3 linked regions of the Arabidopsis thaliana genome follow. The protein of the gene in region 3 binds, or shares a complex with, the protein of the main gene of each other region. Each region holds a gene or a part of one and is shown on either strand. Other genes may lie near its edges. The genes, in order: TIF3B1, EIF3K and TRIP-1.

What was found.
Region 1: TRIP-1 (region 3) and TIF3B1 share a complex: the UniProt entries of both Arabidopsis thaliana proteins name them as parts of the eukaryotic translation initiation factor 3 (eIF-3) complex.
Region 2: TRIP-1 (region 3) and EIF3K share a complex: the UniProt entries of both Arabidopsis thaliana proteins name them as parts of the eukaryotic translation initiation factor 3 (eIF-3) complex.

Annotation. Positions count from the first base shown.
Region 1 is NC_003076.8:9,781,495-9,788,639, forward strand, and holds the start of TIF3B1 (translation initiation factor 3B1), read right to left. Parts: upstream 3,795-7,145; 5' UTR 3,697-3,794; intron 3,682-3,696; exon of another isoform or gene 3,290-3,681; 5' UTR 3,266-3,289; coding exon 3,156-3,265; intron 2,906-3,155; coding exon 2,668-2,905; intron 2,571-2,667; coding exon 2,346-2,570; intron 2,073-2,345; coding exon 1,944-2,072; intron 1,769-1,943; coding exon 1,640-1,768; intron 1,553-1,639; coding exon 1,469-1,552; intron 1,398-1,468; coding exon 1,273-1,397; intron 1,167-1,272; coding exon 968-1,166; intron 862-967; coding exon 329-861; intron 243-328; coding exon 134-242; intron 49-133; coding exon 1-48. Other genes in the region: AT5G27650 (Tudor/PWWP/MBT superfamily protein), read left to right, coding at 4,017-5,166, 5,532-7,145. UniProt on the Arabidopsis thaliana protein: RNA-binding component of the eukaryotic translation initiation factor 3 (eIF-3) complex, which is involved in protein synthesis of a specialized repertoire of mRNAs and, together with other initiation factors, stimulates binding of mRNA and methionyl-tRNAi to the 40S ribosome.
Region 2 is NC_003075.7:16,037,630-16,042,433, forward strand, and holds EIF3K (eukaryotic translation initiation factor 3K), read right to left. Parts: upstream 3,180-4,804; 5' UTR 2,989-3,179; coding exon 2,875-2,988; intron 2,785-2,874; coding exon 2,728-2,784; intron 2,635-2,727; coding exon 2,521-2,634; intron 2,291-2,520; coding exon 2,240-2,290; intron 2,159-2,239; coding exon 2,092-2,158; intron 1,898-2,091; coding exon 1,815-1,897; intron 1,632-1,814; coding exon 1,437-1,631; 3' UTR 1,022-1,436; downstream 1-1,021. Other genes in the region: CDC20.2 (Transducin family protein / WD-40 repeat family protein), read right to left, coding at 3,604-3,747, 3,841-4,422, 4,503-4,772. UniProt on the Arabidopsis thaliana protein: Component of the eukaryotic translation initiation factor 3 (eIF-3) complex, which is involved in protein synthesis of a specialized repertoire of mRNAs and, together with other initiation factors, stimulates binding of mRNA and methionyl-tRNAi to the 40S ribosome.
Region 3 is NC_003071.7:19,002,021-19,009,165, forward strand, and holds TRIP-1 (TGF-beta receptor interacting protein 1), read right to left. Parts: upstream 3,713-7,145; 5' UTR 3,488-3,712; exon of another isoform or gene 3,402-3,487; 5' UTR 3,374-3,401; coding exon 3,190-3,373; intron 3,042-3,189; coding exon 2,826-3,041; intron 2,731-2,825; coding exon 2,597-2,730; intron 2,500-2,596; coding exon 2,380-2,499; intron 2,270-2,379; coding exon 2,180-2,269; coding exon of another isoform or gene 2,159-2,179; exon of another isoform or gene 2,087-2,158; coding exon 2,000-2,086; intron 1,900-1,999; coding exon 1,820-1,899; intron 1,712-1,819; coding exon 1,636-1,711; 3' UTR 1,138-1,635; downstream 1-1,137. Other genes in the region: GBF3 (G-box binding factor 3), read left to right, coding at 35-210, 302-379, 491-616, 702-881; AT2G46290 (Transducin/WD40 repeat-like superfamily protein), read right to left, coding at 3,890-3,965, 4,068-4,147, 4,235-4,321, 4,417-4,506, 4,609-4,728, 4,829-4,962, 5,059-5,274, 5,410-5,629 and 1 more; AT2G46300 (Late embryogenesis abundant (LEA) hydroxyproline-rich glycoprotein family), read left to right, coding at 6,372-7,114. UniProt on the Arabidopsis thaliana protein: Component of the eukaryotic translation initiation factor 3 (eIF-3) complex, which is involved in protein synthesis of a specialized repertoire of mRNAs and, together with other initiation factors, stimulates binding of mRNA and methionyl-tRNAi to the 40S ribosome.

The sequences.
Region 1 (7,145 bases), on a different chromosome or scaffold from region 3:
TTCCTTCTCTGCAGTCAAGAATGATGGAGGTCTTGGACGCCAAGCCAACTGTGTAACCAACCATACACAAATATTTTATTAGACATCGGAATGGACGATGCTCGTTTAAGACCGAGTTTTTCTTGTTACATACCTGGAAGAAATGATCCTTCAATATCCGGTAAAGCATAATCCCGTTGAAAGACCATATGGTGAACCCATTCTCCATCTCATGGACTGATGTCACTGCGGTTGCAACGTACCTTTGAAAATAAAAAAGTGCAAACAACATCAGCAATTGGAACAAATAGAAACAACCAAAGGACTGGTTTAGTTAAGACAGTAGGACCTTCCAGTCGGGTCCCATTCGATATCCGTGGCCATGAAGTGTTCAGCTGTGGCCATTGTCTCGAGCTCATCCACGTTGAAAAATTCAAGCTGGCCATTGAAACCTTTTAACCCAGCAAGAATTATGTACTTGCCTGTGGGCGACCAGAAGAGGGCATTAGCTTGTTTGGCCTTCAAAGTTGCGAGCTTTGAAACCCTTCCAGTGTTTTGTGCGGTCTTCATTGAGTAGAAACTGACATCTGGTCTTGGTTGGTCACCATGAATCACAGCAAACCTGTGACCCTTGGGCTCCCATGCAAAAGCAATGATCTTGTCGTTCTTGTTGTCCAGCTCAAGAACCTCGATGGGAATATCCCTTTCTTTGATACGGAAAAGTTCAAATCCAGAGTATGTGCTCTTCTTAGTTTTTGTGTATCGATCAACCTTGACAGCAAGATACTCTCCACTACTCTGCCAGTACATCTTGCAGTCGCTCACACTGAAGAGATTCTTCTGCCTCAGCTCCACCTTGCTCGGGATTTGGACTAGGGCAACCTGAAGAAGGGATATCAACATGTAATTTCAAAACACCAGGCAGAGAAACAGAAGCAAATTAAGGATTCAGAGCTTTTCATGTACATCAGAAATAATAGAAACATACCTTCGCAGGTTGGTTTCCACCACCTTGTTCAGGAACAAACAATGAAAGGATGGAATCAGTAGGAGACCAGCAGATATCCACAACATTATCTACCTTCATGGATTTCTTGTCTATTAGGCTGAAAGTCTCAGTCTCATAGACAGAGATAGTGTTTTTGCTAAGCTTGGCAAAGTATTTATCATCTTTTCCACCAGCCCATCTGTAGAAAAAGTTTACAAGATATCAACATATGTCCATAATAGTGGAGAAGATGATAATATTGGCTGTTTATTTTTAGGACATTGACATGCAGTTGAAAGAATTACCTGAAAACAGGCCAAGAGGCACCAGCAACACCACCAGGTCCTCCAATTGAAAACTCATCAGCACTACCCTTGAAATCTCTCATCATCCTCCCGGTTCTCACATCAAAAACCTTAATCTCAACTTTCTGAAAGTTTGACAGAATTCAGCGTCACAAATAGTAAAAGTTGAAAAGAACAGAAGAAAAGATGCACTCACACTTGCATCTCGCGGGTTGCTTGGTTCTTGGCTATGGTAAGTTACAAGATATTTCTCACCTGGCGAGAAATCAACTAGTTTTACCTAAAACATAATCAACAAAAGATGCAATTTTCAGGCCAACAGAGGAAAAACGGAAGTAATATGTAGCAATTGAAAGGAAATTCAAACCATAGAATGCTGATAACGCATGAGACGCGTGAATGTATCAGCACCACCCCAAACAGCTGCCCCCTGCTTGTGGAGTGTCACAAGGTATGTACCTAAAGGAGACCACTGCACATAACTCTCTGTCCAATACTGCATAGGAAGAGAACATCATTAATTCAAATGAAGGTAACATAACATATAAAAGTGCTCTAAACAGTCAAGTAAACAAATAAGGGATATTAATTCAAATGAAGGTAACATAACATATACATTGCTCTAAACAGTCAAGTAAACAAAAGGGATATACACACAGGAAGTAACTTACAGGACGCTTATGAACAGGTTCAGGCGCCTTCTGCCTAGTATCATTCCAGAAAACTTCAGTATCAGGGCCAGAACGAATGACTAGCTGGTCTCGGGCTTTTTCATCAGTAAGCCATTTTTGCAAATTTTCCTGAAAAAACAAACACCATATAAGTAACGACAATTAGCACCACAAAAGGCTGCAATGAATTAAAATATATACATGAAACAAGAGTTATGAAATTATAGTTATTAGTTAGTATACATCAATTACGTAAAAAGATCCTAACCCTAACGCAGCAGGCAAACACAAAATAAATCAGCGAATTACCAAAATAAAGAAGTGATTACACAGACACAATGGAAGTTATTCAAAGAAAATTATTCAAGGTACAGGGAGTAACATGATGAAAACTACACATACCCCAGGGACGTAGGGCCTGGCCTGAGGAGGCTCCCACTCCTCCTTCACATTCATCAACCTGTCAAAATCATCGAACATGTTTACAGCAAAGATGTGAGACTTGTCCAACTTGTAGCCATGAGACTTTTCCTTAGCGTTTTGTGCTTCCTGCAAAGAGCCCCAGACATTGAGAGAAACTCTTAGGAAATACTCAACCATTAAGAACAACCTAGTTTGGGCTCCTTTCTAACAAGAGAAATAAAGTATTGAAACATATGACGCCGACATTATTGCTTCAGAATCCAACAAAACAGAGATTAAGCTAATCAAGTAGATAAATAACCTGAGGAGTGTTGAACTCAATAAAACAGTAGCCCAATGTCATCTTGGTATCGGGATCAACAGGCATCCACAGTCCATTTTCCTTAATCACACCTAACTGGTTGTAAATTTTCTTGACAACACCTTCAAGTTTCTCAAACTTCTCCTTGGGAACAACAGGGAGGTGATCGACCACGATAATGTTACCGAATCCAGTGTCGAATTCAGACTGGTCATCCTGGTAAACAGCTTCATCATCACTACAACCATCACAGAAAAAAAAAGTGTATAACGAATCAGTTCCATTTTTCATACGTTCATAGATAAAATGTATAAATATAATAAGCTTTGCACCATCAAGGAAAGAGATAAACCAATTCGAAATACACAAAATTTTCATACATACAATAGCAAAACCTAGAATAAAATCATCCCATCGTATAAACACAAGAAGATTAGAAATAGAAGTGACCGTATATGAACAACCAGAGATCTAAAGGAAAATCTCACCTCTCGATCCCAAAGTCTTCTCCAGGAGGAAGTTGGATGGAATCAAAATTAACCTGAGACCAATCAATCCCTAACTTAGCAGCTCGGGCATCAATATCAACGACCTCCATGATTTCAAACCTTATATCAAAAATCTGCCAAAGAAAGCCATATAGAGAGAGCTATCAGTCTTTAACACATTCCAACTTTAAGTCGATAAATAAATGTGAAAAATCTGAGTCTTTAGATCTAAAAGTAGGTTTTTTGTTAACCCTAAACAAGTATTAAAACAACAAACTACCATGGCCAAATGTTCAAAGACTAAAACTTTGAATCATCACTCCCACTATAATGTAAATCTAAAACCATGCCTATAGAAATTATTAACTATACTCTAGTTTTATTTAATCTAGAACCCAACAACAGGTGAAATGGAGAAAAATGGCAAAATTTTCCTGAAGGCTCTCTTATATCTATTGCATCGTTCTGGATCCTGTCTCATAGCTACATAAGAAAAGACAAAAAAAACAAATGAACACTGAAATCGAGATAAGAAACGTACCCAATACAGAGATCAGCCGAGAGCAAAAAACAAAGAAGAAGACGGCGCTTGAAGGTGAGGAAGAAGGAGCGATTGTTTTCAGGTCTTTTTGGATCATACGACGTCGGTTCCTTAAACGGGCTTATAAATATTTATATGGGCCGGGTAAGCCCAATTCAATAGTAATCAGTAGATCTAATTTATTGTCTTTCTCTCGATTAGCTTTTTTTTTTTTTTAACAATAATCCGTCTCTTTCATTTGGTGTCCTCGAGAACCAAATTCGGATAATCTCTCATCGGAGGATCGTTGTTGTTGTTGCTAGGGTTCTTATCGATTTGTAATGTACAAAACTAAATTAATCCCGGTGATGAACGAGGATGCTGTGATTGTTCAACAAACGGATTCGATTCAGGATCCTAAGGTAACTCCAGATGATACTGTAGTTGATTCGAGCGGGGATGTTCACGAAGCCATTGATGATGATGTTGAAGCTTCTTCACCTATGGAGCTAGATTCGGCGGTTACAAATGACGCTAGGGTTCTCGAAAGTGAGAGATCGGAGAAAGATGGTGTCGTAGGGAGTGAGGAGGAAGATGAGATTAAAAGCGAGGATGTTTTAATTGATAAGGATGATGAGAGTTCTGAGGTTAAAGAAGAAGAAGAAGAAGAAGATGGCTCTGATGATCAATCTAGTGAGCTTGGTTCTGAAGCTGATGAGAAGGAATTAGATTTGGGTTTGAAGGAAGAGAAAAAAGGAGTTTCGGATTATAAATCTCTTTTATCTGAGTTTGATGATTATGTTGCAAGTGAGAAAATGGGTTCTGGAGTTTCGAGGGCATTGAGTTATGGGTTTGAAGTTGGAGATTTGGTTTGGGGAAAGGTAAAGTCTCATCCTTGGTGGCCTGGTCATATATTCAATGAAGCTTTTGCGTCTCCTTCTGTTCGTCGTATGAGGAGGATTGATCATGTTCTTGTTGCGTTTTTCGGTGATAGTAGTTATGGTTGGTTTGATCCTGCTGAGCTTATTCCTTTCGAACCGAATTTAGAGGAGAAATCACAGCAGACGGTTTCGAAGCATTTTGTGAGAGCTGTGGAGGAAGCCAAGGATGAGGCGAGTAGAAGGTCAGCTCTTGGTTTGACTTGTAAATGTCGGAATCCTTATAACTTTAGGCCTAGTAATGTGGAAGATTACTTTGCTGTTGATGTGCCTGATTACGAGCTTCAAGCCGTTTACTCTGTTGATCAGATTAAGAATTCTAGGGATAAGTTTTTACCCGCTGAAACCATTTCGTTTGTGAAGCAATTGGCGTTAGCACCTCAAGAGTGTGATCCAGACAGTTTAAAGTTTATGAAGAAGAAAGCAGTGGTTTTTGCTTTCCGCAAGTCAGTGTTTGAGGAGTTTGATGAAACTTATGCACAGGCCTTTGGGACAAAATCACCCCGCAGTTCAGTGAGTACGCTGGAACCTCATAATAGAGCACCGCCTCGAGGTATTAGCCACTTTTCAGAAAATCATGTTATTGTTTGTATATGGGTTTTTTCGTTGTAGACTTGAAACAGCTTTCATATGTGTTACATAGATATTAGATACTGTAACTTGGTTTTAGGGTTTTACTTTTAGATCCTCTGTGCTCATGATTTTAGGATTTATATCTTTGTAGTTGAATTCTTTACATAGCATGCTTGAAAGAATAGTGAAGTCTCATTGATGCTAAACTGTGCATTCGAAAACGTGGCCTGATAACAATTCTGCGCCTCTTTCTACTATGGAGAGTCCCGCATACATTTACCTTGTTTGCTTTATTGTTCATTTTCTTGGTGGGTGATGTGTTGTTTCAATTTCTCTTATTTCCAGCTCCCTTGAGTGGCCCACTGGTCATAGCAGAAACGCTAGGTGACCTTAAGAGCTCTAAAAAACCCACAAAGGTTAAGGTCTCTAAAAAAAAAGACAAGTATCTTCTCAAACGAAGGGATGAAGCTGGTGATAAGTCTGTTCAGTTTGGCGAAATTGAAGCAAGTTCAGAAGCTTCTCATATCCAGGGAATTGATGGATCTTTGGATGGGGATTTTGGGCTGCAGAGAAGAGCTCCGACGCTTCAAACTCCAATGAAAGATGAGAAGTCTGGGATCGTCAGCATGGATTTTGCCTCTTCAAATACAGCTATTCCTGGTAAAGAATTTTCAGCTTCAAAGCCCTCTCTTGATGAAGAAAAGGGTCTAGCTGAAAAATCAAAGGAGAGAATGGAAGAAAGAGCTGCTGTACTTCCAGAGCATGGGAAATCTGAAGCTATGGCGAGTCTTAAACCTAAAGAAGAAGCTGGAACAGATCTTGGATCAGCTGGAAGTTCTCTCCAGCCTCTGCTTGAGTCTCATACCTCAGCATCTGAGGGGAAAAGTTCCACAGGGTCTGTAATCAAGAAAGTCAAAGTTGCTAAACGATCTTCAAGTGAAATGAGCTCGGAGAATCCTCCTTCAGAGCCAAAAAAGAAAAAGAAAAAGAAGAAAGAGCCTGATTCTGACCATCCAGTGAAGAGAAAAAATTTGTATTCTGGGGAAGCTGGGGCCAAGAAATTGTCCCAGCTTGGTTCAGCGCATTTACAAACCTATATGGAAGCCGATGTGCCGCAGCTGTTGAGCCATCTGCAAGATCTCTCTCTTGACCCTTTCCACGGTTTATCCGTTGCTTCTTTTGGAACTGCTAGGAAATTTTTTCTCCGTTTCCGTTCACTTAATTACCAGAAAAGCTTGTCTGTATCTTCCTCTGATGCTACTGTCGAAAATGCCAGAGACACAAAACCCTCAAAACCTGTCAAGACAGTGAAGAGAACCGAAGACCCATCAAAAGCTGGAAAAAAACGGCTCTCTTCTGATCGTCAAGATGAAATCCCATCAGCTAAGAAGCTGAAGAAAACTAATCAGTTGAAATCAATGGCTTCTGAAAAGAAGATCATTCGAGAAGCAAAGGATAGTATAAAACCAATAAGAGAGCCAAGCAGGGTGGTACAAGCAAAACCAGCCAGAGGTCAAACCGGGAAGAAAACAGCTCCATCAGTTAAGGTGGTTGAGCCAACAATGCTGGTCATGAAATTCCCACCTGGCACATCTCTCCCTTCAGCCGCATTGCTAAAGGCGAGGTTTGGTCGCTTCGGGCTGTTAGATCAATCCGCCATTAGGGTTTTCTGGAAATCATCGACCTGCCGTGTTGTCTTTCTGTACAAAGCCGATGCCCAGACTGCTTTTCGATATGCAACAGGAAACAACACTCTATTTGGAAACGTGAATGTAAAGTACTTTCTCCGTGATGTGGATGCTCCTAAAGCCGAGCCTCGTGAGCCAGAAAACACCAAGGAAGATGATGAACCACAGAGCCAGTGGTTGGACCAAGCACCACCGCTTCACCAACCAACATTACCGCCACCAAACGTCAACCTCAAATCCTGTTTGAAGAAACCAGTTGATGACCCGAGCA
Region 2 (4,804 bases), on a different chromosome or scaffold from region 3:
AATGCGAAAACTAACACGAGCAAGAAACGAATTTTTTAATAGAAAACAAAATAAGAAACAAAAATTAAACACGGAAACTCTAGAAAATTTGTTTAAAAACAGAAGGCACCAAATTTCTTCTGGATAAGATTTGAAATCAATTTCCAAAAGGGAACCAATTAACCATAATCTCAAAGAAAAGTGCCAAGCTGAGAACATAGAAAGGGGAAAACAGTTTTCCTCAATTTCTCTCAGATTAATACCCAACAAAGAAAGAAAAAAAAGCCACCTTTGAAATTGAAGAAATACAAGAGAGAGACGGTAAGAAGATTTACATAAACGAAGATTTGCAGTTTCTTTTTTGGTGCTCGTCTGGCTTTCTTTTGTTTTTCCTGTCTCTCCCGTTTTTATGTTCACGACTTGTCTGTCTGATCGTTTGCCTTTGTTTATTTCACTTTTTATTCACGTATTTATCACCCTTCTTTATATCCTCCACGTATCTTAATTAAATCTAACTTGTTCACTTCAATCACATATTGTATCTTCATTAGTCTTCATTATGTCGACTAAATAAAATAGAAAAAACAAATCATTAGGTTCATGATTGTCAAAAAAACAATTATAAATAAAACACCGTTCATTGTTGTCGATCAAATTGAAAATTTATATATTATATTCATAAAATTCAATTATTTATTCTGTTAAGCAATTCAAAAAAGTCTCATATATGTACAAAATTACAAAACTAGTTACATCAAAATCAAAAGTTATGATCTTGGGAATAACCTAGTTGTTAGTAGAATAATAGTATTGTTTTAAGCAATCATCTTAGATACGAGATGATCTAACTAATTATAGTTTAATCAGTCAAATTTATCACATAGGGAGCAGTCAAAATATGCATGGGAAAAGAGAAAATTGTGCACGTGACATGATTTGGTGTCAACATGTGAGCTTCCAAATGGATGGCTGTCAATCTTCGTATGTGATCTGTGTAGAGAGGACGACAAGACATAGACAGTCTCTTTGTATTTCAAACTTTCTCAATACAAATTTGCCGTGTCAGTTTCTATATTCCAAGAAACCTAAACAAAAGTTTTTTTTTTCCTTTGCTTTTTAAAGAAGACAATTGTTTGGGTTGTCTGAAGATTCGTTTAGTTTATTTAGATGTAATGAAGTAAACAGAAGATAATCAATCAGAAACGAGCCAATTCCAACACTTGTTGAGAAACCAGTATTGGAATCCATGGAAGGTAAAAAAAAAGGTAAGAAGCAGAGCTCAGACTATGAAGATCTACTAATTATGGCAAAGTCTCGGTCTACTAGATTTTTAAGAAAATCTGTCAAATTGCAAAGAGGAAGGCCATTGCCAAAATTCACATTACGGTGTCTTAAAAGTGTACATCACAAGATAACAAGAGACAAAAGGAAAATTTGCAGTGTTCTCATGAATTGGTTCAACCAAGGATGGGGAAGATGCGGGCAATGTGTTCCAAGGGAACATTCTCACCTGTATTTTTCTTGAGCTCCGGATGGTTAAATTCATTTTGTGGTAAGACAATACTTCCACCCTCTTTCTCAACAATCCATCCACTGTTAGTCACTTGCTGCTCGATGAATTTGTCTAGAGATGCACCATCCATGTTAACAGCCTGTGAAAATTGTCATTTATTGACAAATAAAAGGTCAACAAATTAGATTTCCAGAACTATGATGTGGAATATTCGTAACAGAAAATTATATGAGAAAGTAAAAGATTTCACATCCGAAGTTCTACTATTTTGATGACTTAAGCTATCCGTGGTGAAAACGAGATCATAAACCAAACATCATACCTCAGCCAGCACTGATCTTGGAACCTTTTGGTAGCTTAAGCTAAGAAGGTGACTTGCATATGCTTGAATAGCTTGCTCAAAACCTGCATTTAATCTCTCGCATATAAGACATCTACACTAGACACAATCATAAAATGAATAGACAGTACCATAAACCACTACTGAGGACTTTGTTCGTACCATAAGACATCTACACACAAATATCCTTAAGTAACAAATCTACATCTAGAAATTTGTTATTAGTAGACGATTTATTTATGATTCAGAAGTTAGTTACCTGGAACAGCCTCGAGAATGTGACGGTTCTTGGCAGCTTCATCCCAGAACTGTTGGAACCTCCCAGTCTGCAAAAGAAAAACAAGTGCTTTAAATACTCAATGCACACCTTTTCAACTCTCAACTAACTAATACTGATGTTTGCGTACCTCAAGGTAGTGTGATAGAACAATTAGTGACTTGAACTGCTCCTCCATTTGCTGAAACACACAATCCAAACAAGTACATTTATTAGTCCTCAAGAATCCAACACATTGAAACTCACACTTTATCATGAATGCTCAGTACACAGACTGAACTGACAGAAATAACTTGGAATGGCATAATAACTTGAGTCAGAAACATTTGAACAATCGTTTCTTCTGTATCTACGATAAGCTATATATGTAAGAAAGCAAAACATTGTGAAGTTAAGAGGAAAGAAGAATACCACTCTTTCGGGAATCAAGAAGAGGCAAAGGCTGAAGTCTGGAGTTGGCATAGCCATAAGAGCCTTGACCAAGATTCGAGCCACGATATGAGTGTTCATGCGCTCAGGCTCAAACTGCATAAAAGCAACAATACCAATTAACGAAAAGAGACACTAAAACTCTTGAATTTGGTATCAAAAGGTCCAGCTTAAGAACAACTAGAGCACCTGATAGAGCCGAAGCAAGCATAGGTTTACTTCCAGACTATACGTTTGCGATGTAACCTGAAAATCATAACGAAACCAACAACAATCAATGGAACACGATTTCTACAACAGAATCCGGCTTGAGAGAAAAGGGAAAGGAAACTGCACGTTAACGTAGTTTTCGAGATCAGGCAGGATTTCAGGGTTGAAAGGATTAAGGGCGACGAGCTGCTCAACGGTGTAAGAGCTCTGTTCCTGCGGCGATTGGATCTCTACTCCCATCTCTGCCTCTTTCTCCTTCTCCGTTTCTGTCCCTTTTGCGTCGGTCTCTTCGAACTTTGATAGATCACTGAGGAATGTGCAGAGGAGATTCGCTGATAAGACGAATCTAGGGTTTAAAAGCCAAAACGACAAAGCTTTGTCGTTTGGGCTAATGGTGCAATTGACAAAACGTTTGGGTTAAATTAGGATGACAGAGAAACTACAAAGGGTTGTTTAGTAAATAACTATTTTTAAGCCATTTTGATGCCACAGACTCGGTAAATAAATATTTTCTCAGTTTGCTTTTAAAGATTGATACTACACTAGAGTTTGCATTCGATTAACCATGGTCCAAAAGTTCACCAGTGAACATCTTTTCAAACAAAACTGTCAGCATCTACGAGTTCTCTGATCACAACTTCATGAAGTCTCACTTTGTTTCCAGTAGAATAATAAATGTGGATATCCTTCAAGAGTATAAAATCATAATCTTTCTTTTTTCAAATTTCAATATATACAAGTAATCTTTATATTCACGAAGAATGAATCCTTTGGTAATAAAATAAAAATAAAAATATATAGTTTCTTTTTGTAACAATCAATGGGTTTTCCTTGTTGTTTTAGTCTTCAACAGCTTCATCGAATACGATTCACATGAGAAAATGGCTCGGCAACTGCTTTTGGTGCAGCTTTTTTTGCAGTCTCTGGTACTCCAAAAACGTTCCAAAACCTCAGGGTCTCGTCTCCTGCTGCTGAAGCTACAGTACAACCATCTGGACTCTGTAGAAAACACAACAAACAACACAAGTTTAAGGACTGAATGACCTCAAAGACTCAAACTACTTCACCACTTAAAGAAATTGATGACGTTACCTGGGCCATATATAGAACTCTTGATGTATGACCAGTGAGCTCAGCCATTTTCACCATGGATGGGTACTTCCAAAGTGTAAGCTGATTCTGTGTAAACCCATGTGAGCTAAGCAACTCTCTTTCATTCTTGCTCCATAACAACGAACAAACTTGGGAACCAGTGTCTACTGAATTCAAGCAAGCCCCAGTGTGAGTATTCCAGAACTTTATCGTCCTGTCTCCTCCACCACCACCAGTTGCAAGCAAATTCGCTTGGAAAGGGCACCACGCAAGAGCCTTCACAGCAGATGTATGTTCCTCAAGCCTGTGCAGCCATTGTGTGGTTGAGTTTGAGGAAGCGACAGAACGATCCCAGATGTGTACCACATTGTCGTTGCCACCACTTGCTAGTTGTTGTCCAGATCCTGACCACTTGAGCCCACAAACTTCTTGAGTGTGACCTCTGTAAGTTTCCACAATGGGTGATCTGATCCTCACATCATTGTTGATGATCAGTCCATCCATTCCTCCAGTAGTAAGGATATGATTGTTCCATGCCAGTGATCCTACTCTTGACTGGTGACCACCCTTTAATGTTCTCAGCTGCAGAAATATGAGAAACACATCAGACTAAGAACACCGGATATTATATCTCAACATAAAAGAGAGAGAGTAGTAATTACTTGACGGTTGGATGCAGAATCCCACAGCTGGACTTCAGAGTTGTTGAGTCCAACTGCAACATGACGACCATCAGGAGCCCAGTTGATACTTGTGACAGGTCCCTTCTCCTCATCAATGGTCACAAGCTCAGATGTAGAACCAGTGGAAGCATCCCACAAGTAGACAGTGTGGTCCAACGCTATGGCTAAGACATTTGCACTTCCCCAGTCCAGCAAGTTGAGGTAGAAATCGTCAACAATGTCAGGTGCATCCAAGGTTCTCTCAGAAGTCTGTTAATCACAACAGAAAGTTTAGCAACAGA
Region 3 (7,145 bases):
TATAATGGGAGTTTTAATTCGGTTTTTTTGGCAGATGGGAAACAATTGGTTCAAGCTAGCTCATTTCATTCTGTTTCTCCGTCAAGTGGTGATACCGGCGTAAAACTCATTCAAGGATCTGGAGCTATACTCTCTCCTGGTGTAAGTGCAAATTCCAACCCCTTCATGTCACAATCTTTAGCCATGGTTCCTCCTGAAACTTGGCTTCAGGTACCCTGTGACTTATTCTCAACTTCCACTTGTTGGATTTTCGAGCTAATCTGATCCGTTTCCCTGACCAAGTATTAAATTTTGTCTTCAGAACGAGAGAGAACTGAAACGGGAGCGAAGGAAACAGTCTAATAGAGAATCTGCTAGAAGGTCAAGATTAAGGAAACAGGTTTGGTTACTGAAAGAATACACTGAAGCTCTTTAGAAATTCTTTCTCTTAGTGTGTAACTCTCACCAAAACATTTAATAAACTAACAAACTGTCTTTCCTTGTTTTGAAGGCCGAGACAGAAGAACTTGCTAGGAAAGTGGAAGCCTTGACAGCCGAAAACATGGCATTAAGATCTGAACTAAACCAACTTAATGAGAAATCTGATAAACTAAGAGGAGCAAATGCAACCTTGTTGGTAAGTAAGCTATCATTAACCAACAAATTATCTTTATGAAGGCGTGTCATTTTCTTGAACATGGCCGGTTCTTTTTGGGTTGCAGGACAAACTGAAATGCTCGGAACCCGAAAAGAGAGTCCCCGCAAATATGTTGTCTAGAGTTAAGAACTCAGGAGCTGGAGATAAGAACAAGAACCAAGGAGACAATGATTCTAACTCTACAAGCAAATTGCATCAACTGCTCGATACGAAGCCTCGAGCTAAAGCAGTAGCTGCAGGCTGATCGATGGTAATTCATGTCGATTTCTACTTAATTTGTCGACATAAACAAAGAAAATAAGTGCTACTAATTTCAGAAAAACTTGATAGATAGTATAGTAGAGAGAGAGAGAGAGAGAGAGGTGTGATGATTATTGATCTATAAATTTTCGGAGAGAGAGAGGGAGAAAGAGAAACTTTTCCTCCAGATGAAAATTTGGTGTTATGGTTTGTTACTGTTAATATAGAGAGGCTTTTCTTTTTTTATAAAATGGCTTCCTTTGTTGCATTTCCTTGTTTTAGACCTGATGTAATTTTATGAAATCGGTGTTATTGCTTTGCGTAAGCTTTTGTTTCTTTTGTCAAGGTTTCATGCATAAAGGATCTTTCTTTTCAGGTTTCATACATCTCTCTCCGAAAATTTATAGATCCAATAATCATCACGAATATCACAAACATTATGAGTCTGTCTTTGGGTGATTTTCTTCGCTACTCTTGAGGACTGTCAATCACACAAGGCATTCTTTTCTACAACCGAGTTTATTTTATAAAAGCTGAATATTAATGCTCGCTCACACATAGAGCAGGTTAATTAACTTGTACTGAGAACTCTGGAAATGAAAACTAAAGATTCTGTCAAAATTCAAAAGCTTTATCATCAAGGTATTTGTATTGGTAGTAAATAAAAACATGAAAATGTTAAAAGAGAGAGAAAACAAAATCCGGAATGGGAGACTTTTTCAAAGATTCTAAAAGGTTGACGTTCAAGTAGTCGGAATCTAAATCTTGATGTTGAAGTAGTCGGAGTCAAAATGATGCAGCCTCACGTAACCGTCTTCACCTCCACTAGAGAAACTGAAATATACATTCCACAAACTCAGTGAGAGAGCCAAAACACACACTCAAAACCTCATCATGTGAGGATTGTGTCAATCAATCAAAATCCAAATGTTGTTAATTTACCTCTTCCCATCAGGATTGAATGCCAAAGCATTTATAGGTCCAAAATGACCTTTCACACCACCAATTTCCTCTTGCAGAATCTATATATTATACCAAACACAATGATACACGGTTATTTAAATATGTGTATTTTCCAGGTTACATGTTTCCAAGTAAAACACTCTTATTATAAACACTAACCTTGTCGTAAAACTTAGCTTCAAACTTTCCAGCACGATGATCAGTGGTAGTCACAGCTGATGCATCTTGACCACCTCCAAGTACAACCTAAAAGAGAGAGCAGAAACATTCACAAAGATAACATCATGCCTTGCTGATTCTGGGATTCGAAATTGAATTTCATGAAGCATTAGTGCATACATGGTTGAGAAGTGGAGACAGGGAGACAGCATTTACGGGCACCACAGTGGTGTAAGTCTTAAGAAGAGTCAGCGTTCTCATGTCCCAAAGCTGAAACAATCAACAAAAGAGAACACTCTATTAGATGATTTATATCTATATGTATAGTGCAAAAATTTGAAACAAGATATACTGTACAAGTAAAAGAAAGAAGCACATGCCTTTGCAGTTTTGTCAAGTGAACCTGTAAGGAAGTGAGAGTCATCAGCTGCTTTGCAGAGCGATGTAATGTCCTTCTTGTGACCCACTTCCTCATCTGATTGCTTGAGCAATTTTCCCGTCTAGTAACAATGGCAGTAGCACCACATAAGGTTTAGTTCATAACCTTAAAAGAGAGAAATTAATACACAAGTAAGGCCTTAAGAAAAATTGAAATACCTCGGCATCCCAGATTCTGATAACTTTATCTTCACCACCACTAACAATAGTTTGGTTCAGGGGACCCCAAACAGCTCTATTGATCCTCTTCTTTCCATCAGGACAATGAAGGACAAGCACAGACTCAGCATCCTCTACACAATTGCATCAAACAAACAATTTCCTTTTAACACATACAAGAAGTTGGCTAAAACGTAAGTAGTAATTCAGCTAGGAATGTACAACTTACGTTCCTCAGGATCTTCCGCAATACGCTTCACATGAATAGCAGCGGTACGGTCCACGAAGTGATCAGTGGTAATCACTGCAAGACGATCTCCAACAGCGAAATCCACAGACCTCGTAGGGGCATTAAACTTGAAAGTGAACAATTCTTTTCCAGATTTTACATCCCACAGCTTTGCAGTCTGATCAGCACTACCAGTGATCAATCTTGACGAGTCTCCTAAGAAATCACTAAACATTCAGCTTTGAAAGACTAAGACGACAGAATTCACTCGATACTATAAACCCTAAACAAGCTTGTAGCTAAGGGGAAACAATGAATCTAATCATCGACTCGATACTATTTGAAGAGAAATTGAGAAACTTACGGGAGACATCACAGCACCAAACAGCACCGTTGTGACCACGGTAAGTTCCAAGGCGCTCGCCGTTATCGGCAAACCAGAGGGTGGGTGTGTGGTCCTTGGCGCAGGAGAAAAGCAGATCTCCTTCTCTGTTGTACCTCAGAAACGTCAATGGACGTTCATGTCCCTTCATCAGGATCGGCCTCATCTTCAGTTTCTTAGGGTTTGATGCGAATCTTTGAAACAGATACGAAATCGAATCAATCAAAAGACAAGAAAAATAATTGAAGAAACGATTACGGAAAACGGCTTTCTTCTTCACCTGTTCACTTGAAGACGAGAGAGACGACGAGGAAGAAGTGCAAAAACCCTAGGAAATCAACTTTGTCCTCTCTTTTGACACTTTTACCCTTTTGTAATTTTTTAAATTACTCGAGATGCCACAGTTTAGCAAAGCTCAGTGGCTTCAGCGTTTTTAGCTTCTTCCCTATTTGATGAGTTCGAACCTCGCCCGTTGCGCCTATTTTGTTTTTTTCCTTTCTCAAAAGCAGTTTCATACGTTTTTTTTTTGTGGGTGCATATGTCTATTTGAAAAGACAAACAACAAGCTTTATCATCAAAGTAGTATATTGGTAATTTGGTAGTACATCAATTCTGAAAATGTTAAAAAGAGAGAAAATATTATGTGGAATGATGAAAAAATGGAAAGACATGTTCAAAGAATCTAAATCTTGATGTTGAAGTAATTGGAGTCAAAATGATGCAGTCTCACGTAGCCGTCTTCACCTCCACTAGAGAAACTGAAAATACATTCCAAAAAACACTCAGCAACAAAGCCTAAAAAACACTCTCATCAACTGAGGATTGTATCAATCAATCAAAATCAAATTTTGTTAGTTTACCTCTTCCCATCAGGACTGAATGCCAAAGCATTAATAGGTCCAAAATGACCTTTCACGCCACCAATTTCCTCTTGCAGAATCTATATATTATAAGACCAAATACACAGTTACATATCTCTTTCCAGGTTACAAGTTTTTAAATAAAACTGTTTTACTGCAACACTAACCGTGTCGTAAAACTTAGCTTCAAACTTCCCAGCACGATGATCAGTGGTAGTCACAGCTGATGCATCTTGACCACCTCCAAGCACAACCTAAAAGAGCGAGAGCAGAAACATTCACAAAGATAACATCAAGACTTGTTGCTTTTGGGAACCGAATTTGAATTTCAAGAAGCATTAGTGCATACATGGTTGAGAAGTGGAGACATGGCGACAGCATTTACAGGCACCACAGTGGTGTAAGTCTTAATAAGAGTCAGCGTTCTCATGTCCCAAAGCTGAAAGAATCAACAAAAAGAACACTCTATTAGATGATTTATCTCTATATGTAATATGTATAGAGCATATTTTTGAAACAAGTAAAAGAAAGAAGCACATGCCTTTGCAGTTTTGTCATGTGAACCTGTAAGGAAGTGAGAGTCATCAGCTGCTTTGCAGAGGGATGTAATGGCCTCCTTGTGACCCACTTCCTCATCTGATTGCTTAAGCAATTTTCCAGTCTAGTAACAATGGCAGTAGCACCACATAAGGTTTAAGCTAATAAAAAAAAAAAGAGAGATATTGATAGACAAAAGAAAGGCCTTAAGAAAGTTGAAATACCTCTGCATCCCAGATTCTGATAGCAGCATCTTCACCACCACTAACAATGGTTTGGTTCAGGGGACCCCAAACAGCTCTATTGATCTTCTTCTTTCCATCAGGACTTTGAAGGACAAGCACAGAATCACCAACCTCTACATCAATTACATTAAATCAATTCCTTTTACCCATACAAAAAAGACATAGGCTAAAAAACATAAGTAGATTTTAACTTAGAATTGACAACTTACGGTCTTCGGGATCTTCTGCAATGCGTTTGACATGAATAGCAGAGGAAGTTCCCACGAAGTGATCAGTGGTAATCACTGCAAGATGATCACCAACAGAGAAATCCACAGACCTTGCAGGGGCACCAAACTTGAAAGTGAACAATTCTTTGCCAGATTTCACATCCCACAGCTTTGCAGTCTGATCAGCACTACCAGTGATCAATCTAGACGAGTCTCCTAAGAAATCACAAACAAAACACTAATCGTTAAGCTATGAAAGACTAAAACAACAAAGACAACGACTTAAATCCTAAACTGAATCCATTCCATCCACTATATACTATTTGAATTTGAGAGGCTGAGACCACTTACTGGAGATATCACAGCACCAAACAGCACCACTGTGGCCACGGTAAGTGCCAAGACGCTCGCCGTTATCGGCAAACCAGACTGTGGGAGTGTGGTCTTTGGCGCAGGAGAAAAGCAGATCACCATTTCTGTTGTACCTCAGGAACGTCAATGGACGTTCATGTCCCTTCATCAAAATCGGCCTCATCCTCGTTTCTAGGGTTTGATGAGAGGAGCTTTTCATCTTGCAAACAGATACGAAATCAATTCAATAGAAAGAACAAAAGATAATACATTAATCGGAAACAAGTACATGACCAAACGGAGGAAGAGATATGTGCACATACTTGGTTGAATCGAAGACCTTCGGGATTAACGCACTCAATTGTCATGACGGAGGAGGCGACGGTTGAAGGACGACGGATTTGATCAGCGAGCGTTCTCTGAGATTTTGAGGGCTTTAAGTGGTGAATCGTTAAACCGGTGAGCGTACCATTGGTAAATAACTCCGAATAGAGCCACGTGGCAGTAATGGGCTCGAAACAGAGTCCACCTGGCCTAAACATCTAATCTGTAGGCCCATGCCACTTTGGATGTATCAAACTCAATATGATTATCAGTTATAAATTAATCGACTAATCTAATAACTGAAATTTGAATATTTCAATGAATGTAGGAAGAAGAGAAAAAAGAGGGAACACGTCAGCAACAAAAACGGCGCGCGTGAGTCTCGGGCCTAAAACGAAATCCCTTCCTCACGTCTCAGCCTTCTTCCATTAACGAGAGAGAAGAGACAACGCAACACAAAAAAACATTCTCTTCTCTCTCTCTCTCTTCCAAAAACTCAAAATCTCTTAGAAACCAAGTTTGCCTGCAATCATCATCATCATAGCATCTCTCTCTCCATTTTGAAGATTTCGTTTTGATCTTCCTTGATACGATTTATCAGGAGATCGTCAGAGAGGTGAATAATTAAGAGAAAAAAGATGGCAGATTATCAGATGAACCCGGTTCTTCAAAAGCCACCAGGTTACAGAGATCCAAACATGTCCTCTCCTCCTCCTCCTCCACCTCCCATTCAACAACAACCTATGAGAAAAGCCGTCCCTATGCCTACTTCTTACCGACCAAAGAAAAAACGTAGAAGCTGTTGTCGTTTCTGTTGCTGTTGCATCTGCATTACTCTTGTTCTCTTCATCTTCCTCCTCTTGGTCGGAACAGCTGTTTTCTACCTCTGGTTCGATCCTAAGCTTCCCACTTTCAGCCTCGCTTCCTTCCGTCTCGACGGCTTCAAACTCGCCGACGATCCCGACGGCGCGTCTCTCTCCGCCACCGCCGTTGCCCGCGTTGAGATGAAGAATCCGAACTCGAAACTCGTTTTTTACTACGGAAACACTGCCGTTGATTTGAGCGTTGGTTCGGGAAACGATGAGACCGGGATGGGAGAGACGACGATGAATGGATTCCGACAAGGTCCCAAAAACTCGACGAGCGTGAAAGTGGAGACGACGGTGAAGAATCAGCTCGTGGAGAGAGGATTGGCTAAGAGACTCGCTGCGAAATTTCAGAGCAAAGATTTGGTCATTAACGTTGTTGCCAAGACTAAAGTTGGATTAGGTGTCGGCGGTATTAAGATCGGAATGCTCGCCGTTAATTTGAGATGCGGTGGCGTTAGCTTGAACAAGCTTGATACTGATTCACCTAAATGCATTCTCAATACACTCAAATGGTACAAAATTATCAGTAATTAGGATTTTGGT